Drosophila melanogaster: one gene and its partners. Changing the gene in region 1 together with any one later gene gives a genetic interaction. Each region holds a gene or a part of one and is shown on either strand. Other genes may lie near its edges. The genes, in order: rut, Lapsyn, Sh and Itpr.

Region 1 (4,721 bases):
TTGATCCAGCAATCTATTTTTCACAAACGCCAATGTCAAATTTTCTTCAGATAATGTCTCTATCGCTGTAATAATTCCATCGTAACACGAAGGCAATGTGATCAGTAGATGAGAAATTTTATCCATCTCTTCTATTTTTGCACCAGCTGCCAACAATTCACTTATAAGTTCGTCAAAAATATGAAAATGGCTTAATAGTGACATCTCACTCGATAGCTTCAGAGAAAGCAAACGTTTTCGCAGCGCCAGTTGCGACGCCAAACTTTTTCGTTCATAAACGGCGTCCAAATTCTCAAGAATCTGACGCGCCGTAATGTCGCTTGTTGCGAAATTTAAAAACGAGTCGCTTAGGTACTCTATTATTGTACTTTTTGCACAACGCTCTGCCTTTTTCCAGGAGTCATCTACCTCGTTAGGCATTAAACCATCAACTACTTTAAGCACATCTTGCTCGGCTAAAAGAGCCCTAATTCTAAATTTCCAAATCGCGTACTTCTCGCCATCAAACGGCTTAATATTACGTTTAGCCTTGTCCATTTTTCACTCAAATTCTGAGAAGGAAATAATTTCACAAGAATGTGAAAAAAAAAGCTATTTCACAAGAATGTGAAAAAAATGCTATTTCACAATTTATTTTCACAATCTTTAATTCACAATTTAATTGTTTATTAGGCATGGACTGGGCCCATAACCTGTTGTAATTTATAATTTATATTTCCTTTCTTAATAAATAAATAAATAGTCAAGTTTATGTTTGAGTTTTATGATTTATATTTTAAGTTATTTCAACTGCAACACCAGCACCACGACCTACTCACAGCAAAAAACGTACAAGAAGGAAAGAAGGAATAAAAAGAGTGGTATTCTCTTACAATATGTTTTATGGCATAAAAGGTGTGGCCATTCATATCAAATATAAAGTAGTGTTGTTTAACGTTATTTTTGTAGGTTGAATAGTATATTCCAACAAACACAAATATGAAAAGTCGGCGGGGCGAAAAGAAAACACATGTGTCAGCTGCTGCAGCACACACAATTTAAAACTATAATATTAAAGGCAATTTGTTAAAAGGGTTGCAATTATTTATAGCCATCGCCCTAATGATTCAGATAATAAATGAGCTAAATAATTCGAAATCCCTAGTGAAAATCTATGAATAGAAGCCATTTAAACTGGCTTAGAAGCTACAATTATCTAGTCAAGTCATTAGTTAGTCAAATACACAGTTAAGTAGTTGTTATTAATAGCCATAAATGTATGATCATCGTAAAAATGATTGGTCATAAACTAAAAGTCTTACTTTTTATCGAAACAATAAAAAGTAAGCTAATAACGATCAGCAGTTAAAGTTGACGGATTTGTGTTATATCCAACTGGAATCTAGTTAAACAACAATTTAAAGATAATAATTGTTTATGAAAAACGCTATAAGTAGTTAGTACTAATATTAATTTTATTTTCCTTTTTTGGATAAAATTTCAGTTCTACATATATAATAATATTCATGTTATTTAAATAGGATTTTCGATTATATTTTTCATTCTATTTTTGCTTTCTTTCTTTCTTTCTTTCTTTTCAATAAAATATTAAATTTTATATACATGTATTGAGAAAATATAATATTTACTTTACTCATATTCTAATTTGTATTAAATATTAAAATGAATAAAAACGTTTCAACCTTCTCCCGATTTCATGTGTATCTTATCCATAACTACGTATATATGTACTTCAGAGATGCAAAAGTATCTTAGTATCTCAAACTGAATTTCGTCAAAGGAAAACACTTACCCAAAAAGCAACAACGATTGTGTTGCAAGTTGACTGCTGCTGCTTCTTCTTCTTCTGTTACTTTTTTGCCTCCTTGTTCTGTATCTCTTGTTGTTGTTGTTGTTATTATTGTTGTTGTAGGTCCAAGATGCATAGATGGCTGAGCGGAGAGTAAGAGGGTGCGAATGAGACAGCGATAGGGAGCGAGTGAGAGAGCAAGCGAGTTGTAATTGAATGTTTGGCTCTTAATTAAAACAAGAATTGTGACAGCCACGCTTTAAGGCGGGGGGCGTGGCAAGCCCAAGCCTAAGCCCACTCCCACACACTCTCTCTCTCTCTCTCTCCCTTGGTTATTGCTTTTCTTTGCTCTCTCTCTTCGCGTGCCCTTTTTGATTATCTAATCCTTGGGGCAGGTGACATTTTGCAACTTTTGGGGAAGCGGAAGTTGTTGCCGTTTTCTTGTGCTGCCGCCGCTGCCAATACCGTTATCGATTTTTTGCGGCAGCTTGTTGTTGTTGTTGTTGCCGCTGCTGCCGCCGCCGTAAGCCGAAAAAAGGCGTGTGTGTGGCAAAGAGACAGAGGAACGTGGAGAAGAGAGGGAAAAGCCAGTGGCAAAGCGCATCCATGGACGGCACACACACACACACACACACACACACGCATTGGCATGATGAGAAGAGTGGGGGAGTGTGGAAAACGGGGAGAGAGGAGAGCCGAAAAGGCCAAAGCGAAACGAGTTAAGACGCAAGACAATGCAGATAAAAGCGGCAACAACGACAACAACAAACACGGCCAAGAACGGCAACAACAACCACAACAGCAGAAGGCGTCGCGGTGCGCTCTTCTTCTTGCTCTCCTTCTTTATCATCTGCTGGCAATGCATTCGTGTTTTTTGTTGTTTTTTGGGTTTTCGGTTTTTCTTGTTGGTTTTCTTTTATTATTATTTTTTTTTTTTTTTTGGAAAACTTGAATCTTTACCAGCTGCGTTTGGAGTTTTCCTGCCACTTCTTAAATGCGCGCGCGCATTTCCCACGACAAAAAGAAAACAAACGACCAGCGAGACACACAAAGTGGCACTTTATAGAACGAAAAAAAAAGTAGAATGTGCAAATACACCAGCACCGAAAAAAAAAAAGAAGAACAACAGTTAAGATCGCCGCGTTATTTAACCGCTTTTCCTTCCACACAACTCACGACGCGATTTCTTCGGATTGTTTGGCTTGGTTTGTTTGGTTTGTTCGGTTTCTCTTCGGCTCCGCTCGCTTCGGATTTGGTCTGTTCTCAGCAAAGCGTTGCAGCCAAACTAAAGCGTCCGTCGGCGGTTCGTAGCGAACCACTGCGAACCGAGTGGCACGAAGCTGCACGAAGTTGCACGAAGCGTTCGTCGGCGTGCAGCGAAAGCACTATCGTAGAGATGGGGCGCCACTGCTTGCGATAGCCCAATCGATATATCGTATATCAGCTGGTGTGATTTTAAATCCTATTATCAGCGTTATTTACAATATATACCAATTTCAAATTGATAGATGGAGATCGAACGTTGTGGTTTTTAAAGTTCCTGATCTTAATGCGTACATGTTCACTTATATGCAACTTGTATGGCGAATAAAAGTTGAAATGCAAAAGCTTTCAAAAGTCTATCGCCATGTCTTACATATTATCAGCAATCAGCTGGTTTTCTAGGTACTGTGTTATTATAGATTACTTATTGATTTTGAATATAGTTTTTAATATTAAGTTAAAATATACACCAATTAATCAAAAATTTTAAATGGGATTTGAGTAAAAATTAATGGGCATAATCATAGAATAAGTTTTTTATTTGGTAGGAAATACTAAACTAGAAAATACCAAAAGGCTGAAGAATGGTGGTCAAATGAAATTTCTAAAATAGAAAACCGTTAAAAGGCAATGCTATATTATTTAATAACATAACACAAACTAGTCAATTTTAAAGTTGATTTTTTACGTATTATAACAAAGAATGAAACTAAAGCTTTATAGTTACCAATTAAAAATGGCAGCCCCATTTTATTCACTAACTGCCCAGTTTTCGAAATGAAACATTCAGTTTTGTATAATACACTTCATATAATTTTATGCAGGTATTTATATATGCAATTATTTAACACTCAGTGGCGCAAACAGAAGAAAACCGAAGAATTCGCGGACAATTTGCAAGTCGCTTGTATTTCAAATGTCTCCATAAAGTAATATTGCTGATTCGGCTTTTGGTGCGAATTGTCAACGCACTCCTCGTTTTCTTTCAGTGCACACCACATTTACCATTATTTGTACACTCTTATGTATTTTTGTGGGTTTCTTGTAAATCATTTTGCCGAATATTTAGCTCGTACACACTAAAACTATTAAACTGATTTCGTTTTTGTTGACTAGCATTTAGTTATTTGCTTTTTGTAAACAGCATAAAATGTAACTTTCTTAATTATGTATATGCCACTACATAAACTAAATTATTGCACATCATTTATTTAGGATTAGAACATAGTTTGCCACACGTGCCTGAGTGCGTTGGTGTGGATTTAAAAAGATTCCTGCTGGCTCATCCATCATCTCGCATCCATTTCGATCCACCTGGGATTGATGTCTTTTTGTATTTGAATGATATGTACGCTACGCTTTTGACTAATTGGATTTTTTGGATCGATCGTAAGTATGCCCTAATACTCATAGAGTAAAATTTTGCCATAATTTTCATATTTGTATGCGTGCAGTGATGGGGGAAGTTGTGTCAGCGGCCAAACAAGAGTTTTCTAAATTGAAGAAAGGTACTTTCGAAAATTCCGTTACAAAAATGCTCAAAAATAGTGCATAGTTTTGAAACTTTAAATACTTCTTGTGGCACTTTCGATCATTATCTATGAACTATATTGCAATTATTCATTTAAAAGTGACTTTTCCCATCACCGCATTCATGTGTGTGTGTGTG
Region 2 (7,975 bases), on another chromosome or scaffold:
TCTAAGCCTGTAAAACCATTGCATACTTGTTGGCCGTGATGAAAAGGCTTCACCACCAAGTCGGTTGCAAAATAGCTTGCCTACTTTCAGGCTGATGCACTTTAAATTGATTTAGGACAATTTTTAAGTTAAACTAAAATAAATAAATAACGATATATTCAAATAATGTATATCTCTAATATTTTTCCTTATTCATAAAAATACATAATGTTGTTAAGAAACTAAATATCCAAGTCTAAATACAAACTCAATACAGACTTCTTCTTTAAATCAACGTTTTATTGTCATTCGTTATAAAAAATCCACTCCATTGCTGGCTTAAATCTATGTTACGTATTAAACCAAATAAATAAGCGATGGCTTTTGAGCAAGGCAATATTCTTTGATGGCGCTGTTTTTGGTTTTTGGTGATTTTGTGTGATTTTTGGTAAAGGATTCAAGGCAGTTTGCTAGGTAGACGGTTGTCCTAAGGCTAAACTAACGCATAAATGGTAGGTAATAAATAACTGGCACCTAAGACTAACTAACTAACTAAGCAACTAATTAACTAACTAAAGTGCTATTTTCGGGCAATATCACAGTGCAGAGGCTCGTCCTCCGGCTGACGGTTGTTGATGGCGTTTCTGGGCGAGATCACAAACGGCTTTCGCTTCTGGGCATTCCTCTTTCGTCGCTGGGCTCGTTTTCTCCTACAGTGTATCACGCAGAAGATGACAACTGTGGGAGGTGGGAAATGTATTTACTTATGTCGAATAGAACTAATTCGTAACTCACTTAAAAGCACAAAACAAACTCCGCCAAAGCAGCCAGCTCCAAAGAGCCAGAAGCTGCGCGTTTCGGCAAACTGCAGTGTCGTCTGGCAACTGGCGAATGTTGGCGAATGGATCGTTCGATTGTAGGGCAGTGGACACTCGCGGATGTCGAGCGCCTCTGAAAATGGAATTGCAAGTTGGTCATGTGCCAAAAATAAGCAGCTGCTCCGACTGCAGCGCCATCATCGCCATCACTACTTACCCAAGCAAACTGGCACGAACTTCGGACTGGCGCCGAGCATCATAAGATGGTTGGTGACCTGCTGGCAGCCACACTGGCTCAACTGCGACTTGGTCAGATCGATGACCTGCAGGTGGCACATATTCGCCAGGCTGTCGATCCTGAAGTTCTGCAGCGGATTCATCGAGGCATTCAGTTGCCAGAGTTCTGAAGAGAATCGTTCAATATTAGATAGATTCCATATATCTACATATCTCTGCTTACTTGGAAGTATGCCCAGATCGGGTAACTCCTGTAGCTCGCAACCTGCCACGTTCAGGTACTCCAGTGGAGCACGAATGGGCTTCTCCAGTGCCTGAAGATTGAGGGATGTTAGCTCATTGCTATCGATGTATAGGTTTCTCAGTCGCGGCAGCTGGAACAACTCCAGCGGTATCGTTGTCAGTCCATTATTCGAAAGATCAATTTCCTGGGAATTTCGATTAAGAAATTAATTAAAGACACACTCGTTGATTAATTGGATGTCGTTGTTACCTGGAGCGAGGTGAGTGGCTCGAAGGTTCCCACCTCCACCGATAAGATCATGTTATCATAGAGCATCAGAAACTTAATGTCCGTGTATCGCTGAAACGAGCTAGTTTTCAGCTTCCTGATGCGATTGTGCGATAGATCCAGAACCTGCAAAAAACATTCAGCGAATTGTCAGATCATTTAATTTCAGTAGAGAGTTTTGAATGGCATGGGTAGGGTTCCCATACACATCGACTATGCATGTCGGTGTAATGGATAAATTTATGTTTGTGGGCAACTTCTTTATTCTTTAATTAAGCTCAATTGAGGCTAACTGTGACGAGGGGCCCAGCAATGACCAAGTCTGATCGCCTGACCCCTCGATCGTTACTCACCTCCACCGAACTCTTGAGGTTCTGTGGCACCTCCTTGAGGTCCAAGTCGTAGCAACGAATCCGGAGCAGCTTATCGATATGGCCGTACGTGCACTTGCGCACTTCCGACTGAATGATGAATCCGGCGGAATGCAACAACTGGAGGCACACGATGAACGTCAGCAGCTGCCAATGCAGTTCCATGCTCTGCCAAAATAAATTAACATATATACATATAGATGAAAATGTAAATCCAAACGATGGGACTTCATTTCGGCGCTAACTTGTTTATATTCTTGATTAAAACTAGAACAATAAATTTAAGCAAACAATCGCCCATGGGCTCGTCAAAGCGTTTATTTTCGAATTAACAATTTACAAGATCATTGCCGATCGCTGGGGGTCTGGGTCTGGGTTTTGATTGGTTTTTGGGGGTGAATGCGGACTCGCATCCAAAGCTGAATGCATTCAATCAAGCGGATCTACCGCACCTGACAGATGGAATTAAACCATGGCAGCTCAGATACAGATACAGATACAAACTGAGCTCAAATTCGAAGCCTAGGTCAGCTGCTGTTGGCCTGCGTATACGCGATATTCATATTACGTATACGTAACACACAATCAGTGTCATTCCCGCTGCATTCATGCACATCAACAAAAGATGATTCCGCATTGCGGCGGCGGAAACATTTGGCGGCCCTATAATAGTAATAAAAGCAACTAGCCCGAAAAATAACTGACTCACTGCCATTTTGGGAAGCACTTGCCATTGCTCCAATATCTTATCGTGCGGCGTGTAAATCTTTTGATTCTACATCAAACAGCAAAAGGGGTAGCCATAAATCAAACAAATATTCCATTAAAATGCCTTTATGGCTCTTTTCAATATGTCAGATTCACAAAAGCATTTCCCGAAATTTGCCAAAAGCAATATAAGTGTTTTTGGTGAAAATGAAAGCCAATAATCGATTATGGGCCAGAAATAGGAATGCTTCGACGTGATTTATACCTCAGGATAAGTACATATATCTAGACATGATCTAAACATGTAAGCCCACTCGGTATGCACATTTGGGAATTGGAAATGGCCAGAATCCATTGTTAATGTCTCTGTTACGCCCCATTGAAGGGCAATTAGAAAATTGCACGTTTCCCAACTTTGTATCAGCTGGCTTTGCGTGATTTTGCATTGTGAAAAATGTGAAAATGAAAACCGAACAACATGAGTAATGTCTTGAGTATTGTAATTTTCCATTTGTGACATTCGGGCTAATTGCTGTCGCAGCTGAAGTTTTCATCATTTCGCCCAACGAAGCTGAAATTCCCGTGAAATCAATTGCGGGTCAGCAAAAGTGGATAGTTCTATTTACACGAAGCTCAAACGCTTGCTTACCAATGAATGATGAACGACGTCGTAGATATCCATCCATATTGGCAAATCACTTTGAGCCCGTCCAAGTGGCGGAATTAAGACATATGGAGCGCCCAGTTGGCCGATAAGATCTTGGCCTCTTGCAAAGGCAACAAAAGAGTGCTAATCAATTATAAAGTTAGTAACCATTCGTCGTTGCTCATACTAGCTGCGTTGGCTTGGAAAAATTTAAGTGATTCATGGTCCCCATTTAGACATCATGATTCGACCATTTATTAATTTTTGCCTATTTTCCAGCTAGCTGAAGTGTCTTGGCCTTTGACCAAAAAATGTTGCGCTCCACTTGAGAGGCATGTGCTCACGAAATGAAAACATAGAAAATGAAAAACAGTTTCTGCCAATATGTTTGCTCCACTAGCGGAAGCGTGGCGCACACTTTTGCCACCCAGTGTGGTGCGGCTACCTCTGTCATTAGAGCCGCCTGTCGAATCAGCGAAAAAACGAAGCAGAAAATATCAAAAGAAATATTGAAGCGATTTCCACACACATTCTCTTGGACTGACAGCAACCGCAACAATGGCTATAAATATATTTCATATATTTAAATTAAAATTAACCAGAAAAGCCCAAAACAGTGGCCAGAATGAGATGGCAGCATAAACAGTGGCGACCAAATGCAAACTTTTGGATTTGAGGAGATTGCATCGCATCCCCCAGCTGACTGACTTTATTATACAACTTTTGTTAGGGGGCTGGGAATTCAAGGAAATTGGCCATAAAAAGGGCTAATGCCAGGCACCAAATGGTAGATCCACTTGGCGGCTATGGCCATAAAAGTGATCCCGTCCCGCAAATCAAATGGTGAATCCGAATTAGCCTTAGATATTAGTTCTTTGCGAGTTGGAATTATTGGTTGGGGTCACAATTTATGTTTTTCACTTTCGCCGCATTTGTTCAGCTTCAATATTTATTTATATATTATACCCAATCAGGCGGCAGACCAGACAAACAATGCCATGGAAAGGCGAATGGGGTGGCAGAAATGGGTTACGGATCGGAATGGTCCAAGGCGCTAGCGATTCATTCACCCAGCTGCCCGTATCCGACTGTCGACCAACGGATTGCAGCCTGCCCGATATGATAAATATGACGAGGAGGGATTATTTATCTGTTCGCCGAGCCAAGCGATTATTGGACTAACAAAACGCAACATGAAATCGAAAATCCCCCACCACAAAAAAAAAAAATCGGAAGATAAAAAAAAAACACGAAATTAGTATCAAATATTTTAATAACATTCTAAACATTTGTGAATGGATTTATGTGCTCTTGTGATAGTTCCTGTCACACATTGTGGGCGTCGCAGAAGTAGGCATATATTATCGGCTATACCCCGTCCGATCGGCATATATATCTTTCAGCTCCACCCCCTCCCTGGCCGACCCCCAACAGGTGTGCGTGTGTGTGTGTGTGCACCGGAGGGCCCCGAGATTTATTCACATTTCTCGTTGCTACGATAAAGATTTATTTGTTTGGACTCTTCTCTCTCTCTCTCTCTCTGATGCACTGATGAAACATTGCTTTGAGACAACCTTCCCATCTGGGCTACCTTCTCATTACCACCCACCTCCCAGAAATGCCATTGGGTAACAATCATATTTTCCTCAAAAAAAACCGAAGCTTATCAGAGTACGTCAAGTGCTCTTATCGTGTAAGTCCCCATTCTGCTGATAGCTTCTTTCAAAATTATAACGGCGATGCCAAGAACAATAAAAAAAAAAATTAATTGAAACGGCCCCGTAAAGATTGGTGTAGCATAAAAGAGCGTTGTTCATTTATTTCAATTAAACACAATCAAGAAAACATTTGCCCAGGGACTGAAAAAAACAAAAAAAAAAAAAAACAAAAGTATCCAAATACAGTGACTACTCTACTTTATCGGAATGCCAGTCGAAAATATCATATTTCGATCATGTGTTTATTATTTAAGAATATGACATTTTGTATAACTTTTCTTTGTTGAGAACGTTTCCCTATTCTCGAGGCTTTGATTACTTTTCCAGAACACACTGGCTGTAAAGATTAGTCTGCGCCTTGATAAGCAGGTGTTCCCTACGTGTTTTTACCACAGTTAATTACTGAATAAACAGCCCTGCTGAAGCGTTACTTTTAGTAGATACACACAGCAAGTAGTATATAGTATATAGTGAAACTTTTATTTTATCTGCAAGATATGTGTGCTACACACACAGAGAAAGGCTCACAATTGCCGTTGTGCTGCCTCCGCTAATTGAAATCAATTTAACTTGGATTCTATCGCATTATGCTGTCGTGGAGACTCTTTTGGTTGCATATAGAGCATATAGAATCCAGAGACTGGCGCACATTTCAATGCTAAGTTTCCTGATTAGAAAATTCAATATAGCTTACACAGCTGTTGTGCAATCTAGTCGTAGTACTATGTGCACCATTCACGATAACCCGCCAGACCCCATAATACTACCATCAAGAAAGCAAAATAATCAACAAAAAAAAATCAAAAAAAATCCAAACAGATTTTTCCGTCCGCTTACCGCTGGGGAAATTCAAGTGTTCAGGTATAATCCCATTTAAAGTCGGCGATGATAATCCTAGTAAAATGGCAGGATTCTTGTTAGTTCACTACACACACATCACTCTATGCTCTTCTAGGATTCTTCGATTTTCTGTGATCTTTATATATTTTATATATATGTAATATTCAAACAGCTTTATATGTTATATTATCAATATTTTTTAGTTATGATTACGCCGTAGAATGTTATAGCAATCGTTACGGAGCGCGCACGTTGGCCGGAACCGTTCAATTCAACCGCAGACACAGAATTGAAACGATCGTTTCAGTTTTTGGCCTTTCGGACTCCGACAATCCGATCGCCCGAGCAAAGCACACCGAAAAATGCTGATAAAGCGGACGCACGCTCCCAGATGACACTGCACTGCACTGTGAAAATTCGGATGGAAAATTCGGAGTGGAGAGAGAAGCGCTCTCTTTGATAACAGCAATGGAAACTGATACACTCTGCGACTGGAAATTGAATTGTTTTCGGGATTTTGACAGTTCAAATGTGGATATTTCTGATTTGGCCGGCCACTCATTCAATTAGCAAGCGATTGATAATCGAAATTGATACAGAGGCATCTAATGAAGCATCCACGCCAGCTGACAATACAGTTGTAAACGCGTATGAATGATATCGCAACTAACTAAATGAATGTGAATGATATCGCGGATAGTCAGCAATGAGAGCTTGATCCGTATCATAAATGTGGGCAGACGACTTAATTCTCTTCTTATCAACAGGTAAAATTCCCAGGCACCCGTAGATCTCCTCAAGCACGGACATGAGCCCTGTCCGTCCGTTCGCCACTTTTCCACATCGTAATCCAATAAATCCCCGACTGACGACCGCTAATTGCTACCTGGCACCGGGTCTGGAACTCCAGGTATAACTACCAGGTAATAATATACGCTCTATATGGCATTACTTTTCATCGTATTTATTGGTTTGTTTTAATATATTGTTCACAACATGAAAAAGAAATAGTAGAAAAATATGACATTGTGATTGAAGGTTTTAATACATAAACCCATATTCCATTAGTTTCCTTTTAGTTTCCTTAAGTCTTCGATTTGCAATGTTTCTTGTTTGTTTAGGTAATGAAAAGTAAAAAAAGTACGAAAAACATATGTGATTCTTCAGTTGGTTAATCGAGAAAAGAAAGTACAAATACAGTTATAAAGGGAAAAAATAAATAATTCATCTGGAGGAGGTTTAAACTTCACTCCACTTCTCTTCAATTCGCCAACTTTCGTTGATGATGTAAAATTGTTTTAAACAAGGTTGAGCAATTAAATAAATCGTCATCCGCCTTAATAGCTACTAACATATATAGGTTAGTGCCAATTTTATCTAGATTACATTTTTTTTTAAAGTTTTTTTCAATATTTTTCGTTTGTTTTTATACATTTTTTTTCAATGATTTTTCGTTTTTTTTTTTGTTCGATTTTTTTTCGTTTTGTTGTGTTTTTGGTGATAATGTTTTGCATTCCGTATTGATTCTTTAATTAATATTAAAAATTGCTTTCATTTTGGTTTTCCATGAAAAGTCAATGAAGCATCTTGGCTAATCGTGTGGTGTCCTCCTCTTCCCTTTGAATAAGTTTAACTCGTTCAACTTAATGGATAATACATCGCATGTTTTTAGCCAACCCAATCACAATCTCCTGCATGGAGCACATATGAGTCCGATCTGACTGTACAACGGGGTGATCACTGACATTCCTGAAGCTTCTCGCTGATGTTCTTGCTCTGGTAGAAGAGTCGTACGACATGGGTGCCAGTTCCCTTGGTGGCCAGAATCTCTACCTGGAATGTTTCAGAGAAGCGAGTGTCGATGAACGACTGGAGCAGGGCCGCGTCGCACTTGGATATGGTCGACGCATCCAGCTCGCAATGCCTGCTGTATCGCGCCGGCTTGGCCAACTCCTCAGGCAGCTGGCGGAACTGCTGCGTCACGGCATTGTTGCCAAAGTCAATAAAATGCACCTCGCACTTTCCGTCATCCAAAACCTTGCGAATTTGGGCGCGATAGAAGACCTCGTCCTCCGGGAACTGAGCCACACACAAAGCTCCCTCTTTGAGGTCGCTAAAGGCGGGTAGGTCCTGTTCTGCATCGAGCA
Region 3 (5,049 bases), 3.2 Mb from region 1:
AAAACTTTGTAAAGGAAATCAGAAAGTCTCACTGCAACATTAAATGTTTTATAGTTGCGGAAGACATATACTACATACATATATATATATATATGAGGCATAAAGTCACCAAGTATATAGCATATATAAAATACGACTCTGTGCATATTTTTGGTGGCCAAATTTTCTTGTAGTGTGTGTGTTCATGCCCGACCGCAAACATATGCGCATAAATATATACATATGTAAGTTAGCAATTGGGCCAAAACTAAATGGCCAAGCGTGGCAGGAAAGACAAAATGGAGCAAAACAGTTGGCAGATATATCGAGTTGTGGCAAGAATAAAAATTCGCCACCATTCAATCAGGGAAGCTGCTGATGTTTTTGCGAAGACAGACGACCACTTTAAAGGCACTCGATATATGCGCCATATACTGGGCAAATTCAACTCGAAAGACAAAGCCGAGTTGCCTCAGTGGCATTAGGAGAGCTTAGCGAGCACCAGAGGCGTGTGCAGAGGGGATTTATTAGCGCTGTTGTTGCCATAACCACTTAGCCTGCACACACACACGCACACAGACACACTGGCACACTGGCGAGCAGCTTTGGCACAAAGGGGTTAAGAGTGCGGAGAAGAACGAACCACACTCGACGCATTTACGATTGAGCTGGAGCTAAGCCTAAGCCTTGCCGCCTAAAAACCAGGCAATGTGCGTGCGAATGGCCTCCGATCCCCTCAATCTAGTAGTAACCCCCCCATAAAACCAGACCCCCCCCCCCAACCCATCAACAAGACCAAGCCTGCGGCTGTGCTCGTATTCGTATTCAACCACAAACTGGCTTTGTTTTATGATGTTTCACTTGCCAGTTGTTGCTCGAAAGCTCAGGAGTTCTTCCTGTTGCCTCAGCTGCTTGCATGCAAAGTTCAATCAAAATAAATCAGTTGCCTAGAACATTACAAAGGGGTTTCCCACCCATTCTCCTTCCCCTTGCCACTTTCCACTGAGTGGATAAGGGTTAACAGAAGGCTGAGCTGTCGAGCCGTCACGGCACATCTAGCCCCTGCAACCATTCGCCCCCCTTTCGATCGACTTGTTCAACTTTTCAAGTGCCCAATTAATTTTGGCGTGTGCGAGTCAAACTTGAATTTAATCGCAAATACAATGAGAACATGAGGCGTAAAAAAAGCGGGGAACATAGAGAGGAAAACAATAGGAGGAGCGAAAACAAAAGAAGCTTAAACAAAAATACAAAGACGAGGCTGAATAATAACCTCACATGCCCAAGTGCTCAAGTTGTAATACGGGGAAAAACCTCAGCTGCTCTTAGACAAATTAATGAACAGAGCGAGAATCCAAATCCAAACTAATTTGTATGGGAAAACTGGGTGGTTGGTGGAAAGCGAAGGGCGGAAGGCCCAAAGTTTTCCTAGATATCCAAGTGACTTGCCAAACAATACGGATGGCAAAGTTATGGTAAACCTCTCATCTCTGCTGAAAGATGAAACCACAAAATGAATGCATTTCAAAATCCCCAACATAATTACTCCAATGTTTGCGTTCATCTGTTTAGTTTTCACTGCATACTGAGGTGCTCGAATTGCTGGAAAAGCCTGCTTTCACCCACAATTGTGTTGCAAGCCCGTGTATTTATTATTTATATATGCTCTCTATGACAATGGAAAGAAAACGGTCGAAGCAACGAAACATAAGCCATTAATCCAATCAATGCAGTTCCTGTTTCTGGGTTTTTGTTTTTGACATACAAAATTTATACGTTGCCTTCATTTGTGGTCAAATATTAAGGCCACTGCCCAGTTTAATTTCGAGGCATTCAATTGATCTCTGAATTCGATCCTTGAGGCTGTCTTATTGTAAATTAAACATGCCTGCCCTTCTTGCTACTGACCACCATTCTATTTTTGTTTAACTTTGGCTGTGATTTTAAGTTTGATTTACAATTGTAAATTGGGTCAACTTGTTTTTCTTTCAGCTTCGGCTGCTCATTCCACTCCTCATTCCGCTTTTGTGGCTCGTTCAGTTTTTGACGGCGCCAATGCGTCGTATGAGCAATTTGCCAGTTTCTCTTTAGGCTACTGCTACAGCTTTTGCTCCTTCTGGCTCTTTTGGGCCACTCGAATTGCACTGAAATGGAAATGGCAATGGGAGTGGGAATGGGAATGGGAATGGAAATGGCACAAGGCAATAGGAATTGAAGTTGCTTATATAAGCAAAACTTCACTGGTGCCTCTTACCCCTACTTCAACCTACTTCACCCGACCAATCCCTACCATTTTCCACTTTCTCCCCCTTAACTAGAGTGAAATATTAATTAACTCGACCTGCAGTGGGCTAAGTTGGCGTGGACAATCCCCTACCACCACCACTACCATCAGAATCATCATTCCACCGGAGGCTGCAGCAGTGTAGATTCGAGTGGCGCCCCCTAGGCAAATTATGTTGGCAGTGTCCAGGTCCATTTGCCGCTTGCCAGTGCATTAATTAAGGTAAACAAACACAGAAACAGTCGGAGATAGGGCGATACAGTTGGAGGGACTCCAGGATTCCCCTGGAGCCTCTGATCATGTCCTGGTGTATTTTTCTCTTCTCATCCCTTTTCTGTGGCGCGTGGAAGGGTGCTTAAATGGCTTCTTAAGCTGTTTTAAACGCCTTTTTTAAATGGAGTTTCTCCTTGTGTTTCGAATTTTGCGGCACGCACCAAGCTCGGAATAACAATAACAACAAGAGTTACCATTTAAAAAAAGAGAACCATACACTCACATTCACCGAAAAAAAAAAAACAACAACAAGAATCACGCGCGGCTACGCGGCACGCACCACCTGCTTTTTTTTATTATTTAAAGTGCGAGTGGGGGGTTTTGAGCGAGGTAAAAAAATATTGAAGTCTGGATAGAAACTCCAATTGTCAGATTGACACACTGACTGATTGACTGACTGAATGAATGACTAGCTAACTGACTAGCTGGCTGACTAACTGACTGACCGACTGACTGACGGACTGACTGACTGACTGACTGATTGATTGACTGACTGACGACAGTCGCCGCCAAGCGCGGAACGCGTTGCACGATTACGTTGTGACGACGTGACTGCGACTGCGACGACTGAACCGAACTGAGGCGCTGCAAAAGTGTCCGGCGATAGAAGAACCGCCGAACTACGAGCCGAGCCAAATGCGGTGGCACGAACGCCCCACGTTGGGCGCCACGAACTCGCCACGAACATTTTGGGCCGAGGCGAGCACGTGCGATTTGCTTTGCTGCATTGGCTCCGGCTTTGTCAGCGGACTGGATCGTATAGCTATATATCTAAAGCTATACGGAGTTTTCCACTGCTGCACTCCGACTCCGATGGCGCCTCTTGCGTGTTGCGTGCTGTGTTCTGTGTGTGCCGAGTGTGTGCTATGTGTGATGTGCGATGTTCTGTACTGTGCTGTGTGGCAGGTACCGCTCCTGTTCCCGCTGGCCAAAGGCATACGAAAACTGGGCAAAAGGCAAATAGTTTTAGTGCCACTTGGCACGAACACGGCGACCAGAGGAGGCCCAAAAAACACAAAACCAAAAAAAAAAAAAGAAACGAAATGAATAAAATGAAAACCAACAACAAAGCAGAGCCGCAACAACAAAGCCAAAGAGTAGCCTGGGTGAACATGGCTGAGCAAGAAGAGCGGGAACCATGGGCACAGGGACATTGGCGACACTGGCGACTCTGGCGACACTCGGGCACCGTCCGCTGGAGATGGAGCTCTAGCTCCTGGCTGGACTGGAAATGGGGGCCCGTCGGCGGGGATGAGTGGCGGTGTCAAACAAAGCAAATGCCGCTAGGGGCCGCTGAGGCGGCGGCCGAAGGCAAAACAACCGAAACACGAAAACTAGGTGAAAACTGTAAATGAACCAAACACAAACATACACTAACACTCACATGCACACGGGAGCAAGAGAAAATCGAATCGAAGGAGAAACGACAAAAGCCACAACCCCATGCCCTCCAACTCGCCACCGCATCACCACCACCCTTTGGTGGCAAAGGTGTGCTCCTCTATTATTAATGTGTGCTTTAAAACGCCGCCGGGCTCGTTATGCTCCCCCCTTCCGAAGCCTATTCCTTCGCTTCCCTTTTGTTGGCTCCACTTGATTATAATAATGCGAATAACTGCACACTCACACACATACGGACGCACACACATGGCCATGTAAAGGCTCCCAAGTAATACACAGACACACGCATATAAGTGTCACGTGTGCACTTGAACGCCATGCTTCCAGCGAGGGACGGCGTGGCGTATGAGTAATGCAATTATTAATAAATAAACACATGGCACATTCACGCACACAAACGCGCGCCCAAACAAAGCATGGGAAAGTTCGGAAAGGAAAACATAAGGGAAAGCGAGAGAAAAGGGCCACGGAAAGCTGGATAAAGCGCAGCTTAAAGCTCTGGCTTCTGCTTCAACAAAGTTGACGTAGCTATTTGTTTTCCCAGCTTAAAAGCTATCAGAAAGTTTTCTTCAAATCAGAAATTGTGTTTTAGTCAAGCTTTTAAGCTCTTCAATTTTCAAAAAATCAGAAAAGCTTTAAGCTTTGGTGTCCTTGCTAATGCAGGTTTTGCGTTGAAAAATTATTGGACGAAAATTTATCGGAACGCAAACCTTTTATAGCCACACAAAAGCATTTGGAGAATAAGTTGGTTAGGTTGTAAAATACAACCGTTTGTGAAATTTTAACTATAATTTAATAGTTTTTACCAAATAGCATTTTACAATTTATTGAAGGGAGAAAAGCTAATATTATTGAAATATTTTTTTTTAATGAGACGAAGTTATCCAGAAAATGTTATAATCTTTCTAATAAACTAAAATAAGAACGTCTTTTGGGTTTAAAAATAAAAGCTCATTTAGTTCTAACAGTTGCACTTACTAGTTTCTTAAACTCTATAGGTTTTGAATGATTGGGATTTATTGTCAACATTTTGGATACTTTAGCCTCTTTGAGCAATCTTCTAAGAGTCGCTGCAGTACTTATAATTCTTCAGTTCAGAAAATTAGATTTTT
Region 4 (4,928 bases), on another chromosome or scaffold:
AGCGCGCCTTTCAACAATTTGGCCATTCATTAAAAGTCTGGGCCCTGTCTGGTGGCTCAAAGCAATTGAAAAGCCAAGAGACCTCGGCCCACCTGAGCAGAAAAAACGTGAAGCACACAGATACTCACACAATCACACCAGACTGGCGCTGATGAGAACACTTTGCTTCTCATCCAGTCTGCTTCATTGATAACACCCGACCTCCGCATCCGAACAAACACACACACACCCTTAATAATTGCAGCCAAGTGGGCTGTGCACATCGGATGGGCGGGGGGCGGGCGCTTATATTTTATTTGCAGCTCCAGAATGTCGCTTACACAATTTGCCTGTTTATGTTAATTGCTGGCGCTCCCAGGCGCCAACCCCGGCCACTTTACCGCCCCCCCTTCCACAAAATCCCCACCAGCTGCTCAATTCAGCTTCGAATTATGCACATGCTCATGGCAAGCCCACATAAATTGGAGCAAACACACGATTGTGGTCAAAAAAATAAGCATACCTGAGAATCTTCAATGTGTTTTATTTATTTAATGTAATATCTTTGTGGTCAGTTTGTTTAAATGGTGACAAGTGGCAAAACTGAACAAATTTGGCTGGTTGGTAAAATTTATTGATTAAAAATCATGCACAAACGTTATCAGTATGTCAAATGCAATTATACGACAACTTTTGGAGAATTATCAACTACAGTTGAGGGATTCTGAGAGAATAACAAAAACAAATTGTGAATTTTTTAACTCTTTATATTAAAATTGATGACATCTGAATCGTGGTTAAAGAGAAAATAGTTGTCAAGTTCCAACTTTTTTTTTTAAATATACATATATAATTGCACAAAAACATAATAATCAAAAAAATTTTAATACTATACCGAACTAGCGTTTAAAAATTAGAATATATATGTACATTTTCTAGCCGGTTGATCAAAGTACCCGCAAATGACATCTCAATTGACTGGTTATCTTCAATAAATGAAACTCACTGCACATACTATCTATTGGTCCCATTGATTGTATAATTTAGTAATTTGTTCGACATTATAATGTGAATATAATTGATCGTAATTGTGTGATCATAGGCCCATTAACCCAATCATGATTACATGCAAATCAAGAAGTAGTGAAGTGCGCTCTTTCAATCGCAACAAAAAAACTTGGCCAGAGAGGAATTTGGCGATGAAAAGCCATTTTTTTACCCCAGGTAATGGAAATCATCGCGTGCAGCAGGCTCAACACGTCCACTTTTCATCCCCCTCCCCCATCTTTTTTGGTATCCCTCATCTTGCCTCTTACTCTATAGCTCGCCACCTGCCCAGTCAACACCAACAACAATGTGGCGCTTAATTAAGCACGCGTCGCCCAGTCAGCATCTCTCTTTCTCTCTCTCCCTTTCGCTCTCTCTCTCTTTTCCGCTGTCTGCAATCAAGATGTGTGCACTGAGAGAAAATATCGGCGCTAAGTTGATTTTCTCGAACGCAGATGCATTCAGTTCAGAGGACGTCAAGTGAGAAATTTCCAAAAGTGATTTGCATAACTTTAGGAACTGACAAAGAAATATTAGGATTAAAAAAATCCAAACTTTTCTCGAAACTGTGGGCGTGACTGTTTTGAACGGTTTGTGGGCGTTAGAGTGGGCGCGGACGTTGTGAATTAAACTTGCACATCTAGATTTTATAGATCCCGAAATCTCGATCTGATCAATAATATATGTATCCGGTATACCCTTTCACTCTACGAGTAAATACGAGTTTTAATTATGACTATGTTACTTCGTCATTATAATTCTTAAACACTCCCATTTGAAGAATTTTTGTATAACAACAAACAATCCCTCTCACCACAAAACAATTTTGGAAAGCATCACGTTCATATACATAGTGGCTTGAGTTGAAATCAACACTTGACTTCGGAGTTGATTCCCTAAGGATTTATTTATATTTTGTTTGAGTAGCTGGCATAGAACCATACCCCCGATAAGCAAATGTCTTCAATCAGTGGGATTTATATGTTTTTTCCTTAGCTTTTCTATTCGTGTAAGCAACAAATAGTGGCCACTGCAACGTAATTGAATCTCAGCGCATTTCTGGCCCTTTCGCTTTGGCTTATTGTCAATTATTGAGCGAAAGCAAGAGGCAAGAACGAAATCAAAATCAAGTGGGATCAAAAGGCGAGGGCGTGACTGCTAGATAATAGCTATCGCGGTAATTAGCCTATCGGTTCGGTCGTGATAGGCTTATTGCCTTATGACCTACTTAAATTGGTGGCAAGCCCTTCGGGAAACCAGAAAAACCAGTAACTGGGCTCGATTGGCAACAGGTTGTCGTTGTCGTTGTCGTGGGATACTCACCGTAGAATGTATGTAATGTAAAATATCCCTTGTAGAGATGTGCTACTGTATTGTGATTGGTATTGAATCATCCGTCGATAGACGACGATCGTAAATCGAATTTGACTTTATATTTATTTTATTCAAATGCAAACACTCGCGGGCACTCGAAAGAACTTAATATATTTTCACCTTGAGTGGGCCGCACTTAGCCGCGGAAAAGAGAGAATAACAATAAGTGGGAATACGGTGAGGAGGAAGAAGAAGGCCCAGAAACCACACACAATAACAATAACAATGCCGGGGCAGCGACGTCGGCAGAGGAGGTTTTGTCAATAAGAAATAACCGTTAAAACACGCGACAAACAATTCCGGCTGCGGGAAAGAGAGGCAGCATGCGATACAACGTCAACAATCGGCTCTCCCGACCCCACGATCCCGTTGACCACCCACAAGCAGCGCAGTCGCAGCGCAGCAGCAGCGCGGGCAAACAAAACGATTGTCGATTTCTACGCACTTTTCCCAATCACGCACACACACCCACACACGCACGTCGCGTTTAGGCCAACAAATTGAAATTGGCCAGCATTTCGGGCATAAATTACGCGCTCAAGGCGTATGAAAATGCAATTTTCCAGAGCGCCGCGTCATGCGCGACTTCGTGTACCGTACCGCTCAGCTCCTCCGTCTCCCTCACTCCAACGAAGTGCCAGCGCAGCGCAGATAAGGCGGACCGACGCGGAAAACCCCAGCGAAAACACGTCCGACTGAAAGCGCGGTCGAGCAACAAGTGTTTAAAAACCGTCGAACCATATGATCGATTAGTGTGACCGCGCGAAAAATACTAGTTAGCCGTTAATAAATGGTGTAATTGACATCTTAACTGTTTTATGCACACATATATAGAATTATTGACAGTAACACGTTAATTGCATTTACTATTGACAAGGAATGACATAAGCAAGTGTTTGAAAACCGCAGAACCAACCATATGATAAATTAGATGGGAGCGCATGGATAAAATACTAACATACTCTAAATACTAGTTAGCATGGCAGCACAGGGTAGAGATTTGAATCTTATTCAAATATTCATAGTTTTTTAGTCATCTGTGCTTGAAAATTCCAGATCAATGTTGATAGATTGGCCGAGGATTAAAATCTTTCCACTCATCGACTCACATACTTAGATTTTGCTTCTAATGCCTATTAACACAATGAAATGGTCACTCTAACGATCTTGCGTTGGTATTCATTTTTTCGCGATCTGGCATTACCACATATGTAAGAAAACACCGCGAATTCAAAGTTCTGCTTTTTCAAAAATGAGCAAAATAAACTTTAAGAAATCTTGTCTTTGACCATTCTCATTGCTGCAATGGGAAATGGAAAATGCCATTAATATGCGGCATCTCCCCTTTTCGACTTGCAGAAAATGCTGGATGTTTGCTCGAGAAACCATTGAAATCGTTGCACAAAACACCTCGTTTATCCTCCCCCAGAAACTATAGACTTCCGCATCATGGCTATGGCTGAGTTTGTTTTTTGCCGGCCATTGTTTGGGCTCGCCATTGTTCTCCTGGTGGCGCCAATTGATGCCGCCCAGAGGCACACTGCCTCGGATAATCCCTCGACGTACAACATTGGCGGCGTACTGAGCAATTCCGACAGCGAGGAGCACTTTAGCACCACAATAAAGGCAAGCCCATTGACTAACTGGATGCTCCACTAATCCGAATGCGATAATCACGCTTTCCCATCCAACCGCAGCACCTCAACTTCGATCAGCAGTATGTGCCGCGGAAGGTCACCTACTACGACAAAACCATCCGCATGGACAAGAATCCCATCAAGACGGTCTTCAATGTGTGCGACAAGCTCATCGAGAATCGGGTAAGTCGGTGGCCAAATGCAATTACCTGCTCATTTCCGACCATTCCTCCATCGCTTGAAGCTGCTCACATACTCGTATCTGTGTTTAACCCGACCTGGTTCGATTCATTTCCATAATTTAAGGGGAAATGATTCGGAAATGGGATGATGACAAGCGGTAATGCGCCAGCAGAATCCAATATCCATGAGCTAACCAACTGGAGCTCTTAGAGCGAAAGAGTGCTTAAATGTGCAAATTGAACTATAATTATACAATATTACTTTAAATGCGTTTTGTTGTTATGAACCAGGTTTGCAGAATGATATATAGAAGGAGTTTGTAGGGGTTTGGTTATTAGAAAGCTAAGATTTATAATCATAATTATCTTTTTAATTATTGATGGTCTTTAGTTGAGCTAAGTGATTTACAATATTGTCTACTATTTGGCAACATTAAAGTATTATCGGTACTTATTTGTCACTTATTCTAAATAAAAATATATAATATTACAAACTGGGTACAAATGTAAAGAACCATTCAAATGAAATAAGTGATTTCATCGCACTGTACTCATGTACAATGAAGGAAATCACAAAACTGGATTCTTGTGCAATAAATTATCGCTGTTATGCACAAAAAGGTGTCCATAAAATCCTAATGACGAAGAGCACTTCGGCACTTAAAGTGCAATGCACCTTTCAGTGTGAGACTTCGTCACTTAAAGCTGA

Evidence for each region.
Region 2: of rut (region 1) and Lapsyn, changing one suppresses a phenotype caused by changing the other (phenotypic suppression), as found in Drosophila melanogaster (one study listed by BioGRID).
Region 3: of rut (region 1) and Sh, changing one suppresses a phenotype caused by changing the other (phenotypic suppression), as found in Drosophila melanogaster (one study listed by BioGRID).
Region 4: of rut (region 1) and Itpr, changing one enhances a phenotype caused by changing the other (phenotypic enhancement), as found in Drosophila melanogaster (one study listed by BioGRID).

What each region holds. Positions count from the first base shown.
Region 1 is NC_004354.4:14,822,997-14,827,717, forward strand, and holds the start of rut (rutabaga), read right to left. Parts: upstream 3,078-4,721; 5' UTR 2,966-3,077; intron 2,910-2,965; exon of another isoform or gene 2,750-2,909; intron 1,932-2,749; 5' UTR 1,793-1,931; intron 1-1,792. UniProt on the Drosophila melanogaster protein: This is a membrane-bound, calmodulin-sensitive adenylyl cyclase. Inactivation of this cyclase leads to a learning and memory defect.
Region 2 is NT_033778.4:21,191,717-21,199,691, reverse strand, and holds Lapsyn (Leucine-rich repeat activity-regulated protein at synapses), read right to left. Parts: upstream 6,122-7,975; 5' UTR 5,826-6,121; intron 2,085-5,825; 5' UTR 2,082-2,084; coding exon 1,899-2,081; intron 1,672-1,898; coding exon 1,528-1,671; intron 1,463-1,527; coding exon 1,258-1,462; intron 1,201-1,257; coding exon 1,015-1,200; intron 931-1,014; coding exon 775-930; intron 718-774; coding exon 560-717; 3' UTR 261-559; downstream 1-260. Other genes in the region: tud (tudor), read right to left, coding at 7,566-7,975.
Region 3 is NC_004354.4:17,987,575-17,992,623, forward strand, and holds the start of Sh (shaker), read right to left. Parts: upstream 3,106-5,049; 5' UTR 2,760-3,105; intron 1-2,759.
Region 4 is NT_033777.3:5,515,310-5,520,237, reverse strand, and holds the start of Itpr (inositol 1,4,5,-trisphosphate receptor), read right to left. Parts: upstream 3,122-4,928; 5' UTR 2,350-3,121; intron 1-2,349. Other genes in the region: Nmdar1 (NMDA receptor 1), read left to right, coding at 3,850-4,026, 4,098-4,220. UniProt on the Drosophila melanogaster protein: Receptor for inositol 1,4,5-trisphosphate, a second messenger that mediates the release of intracellular calcium. Together with MCU, has a role in oxidative stress-induced ER-mitochondria calcium transfer.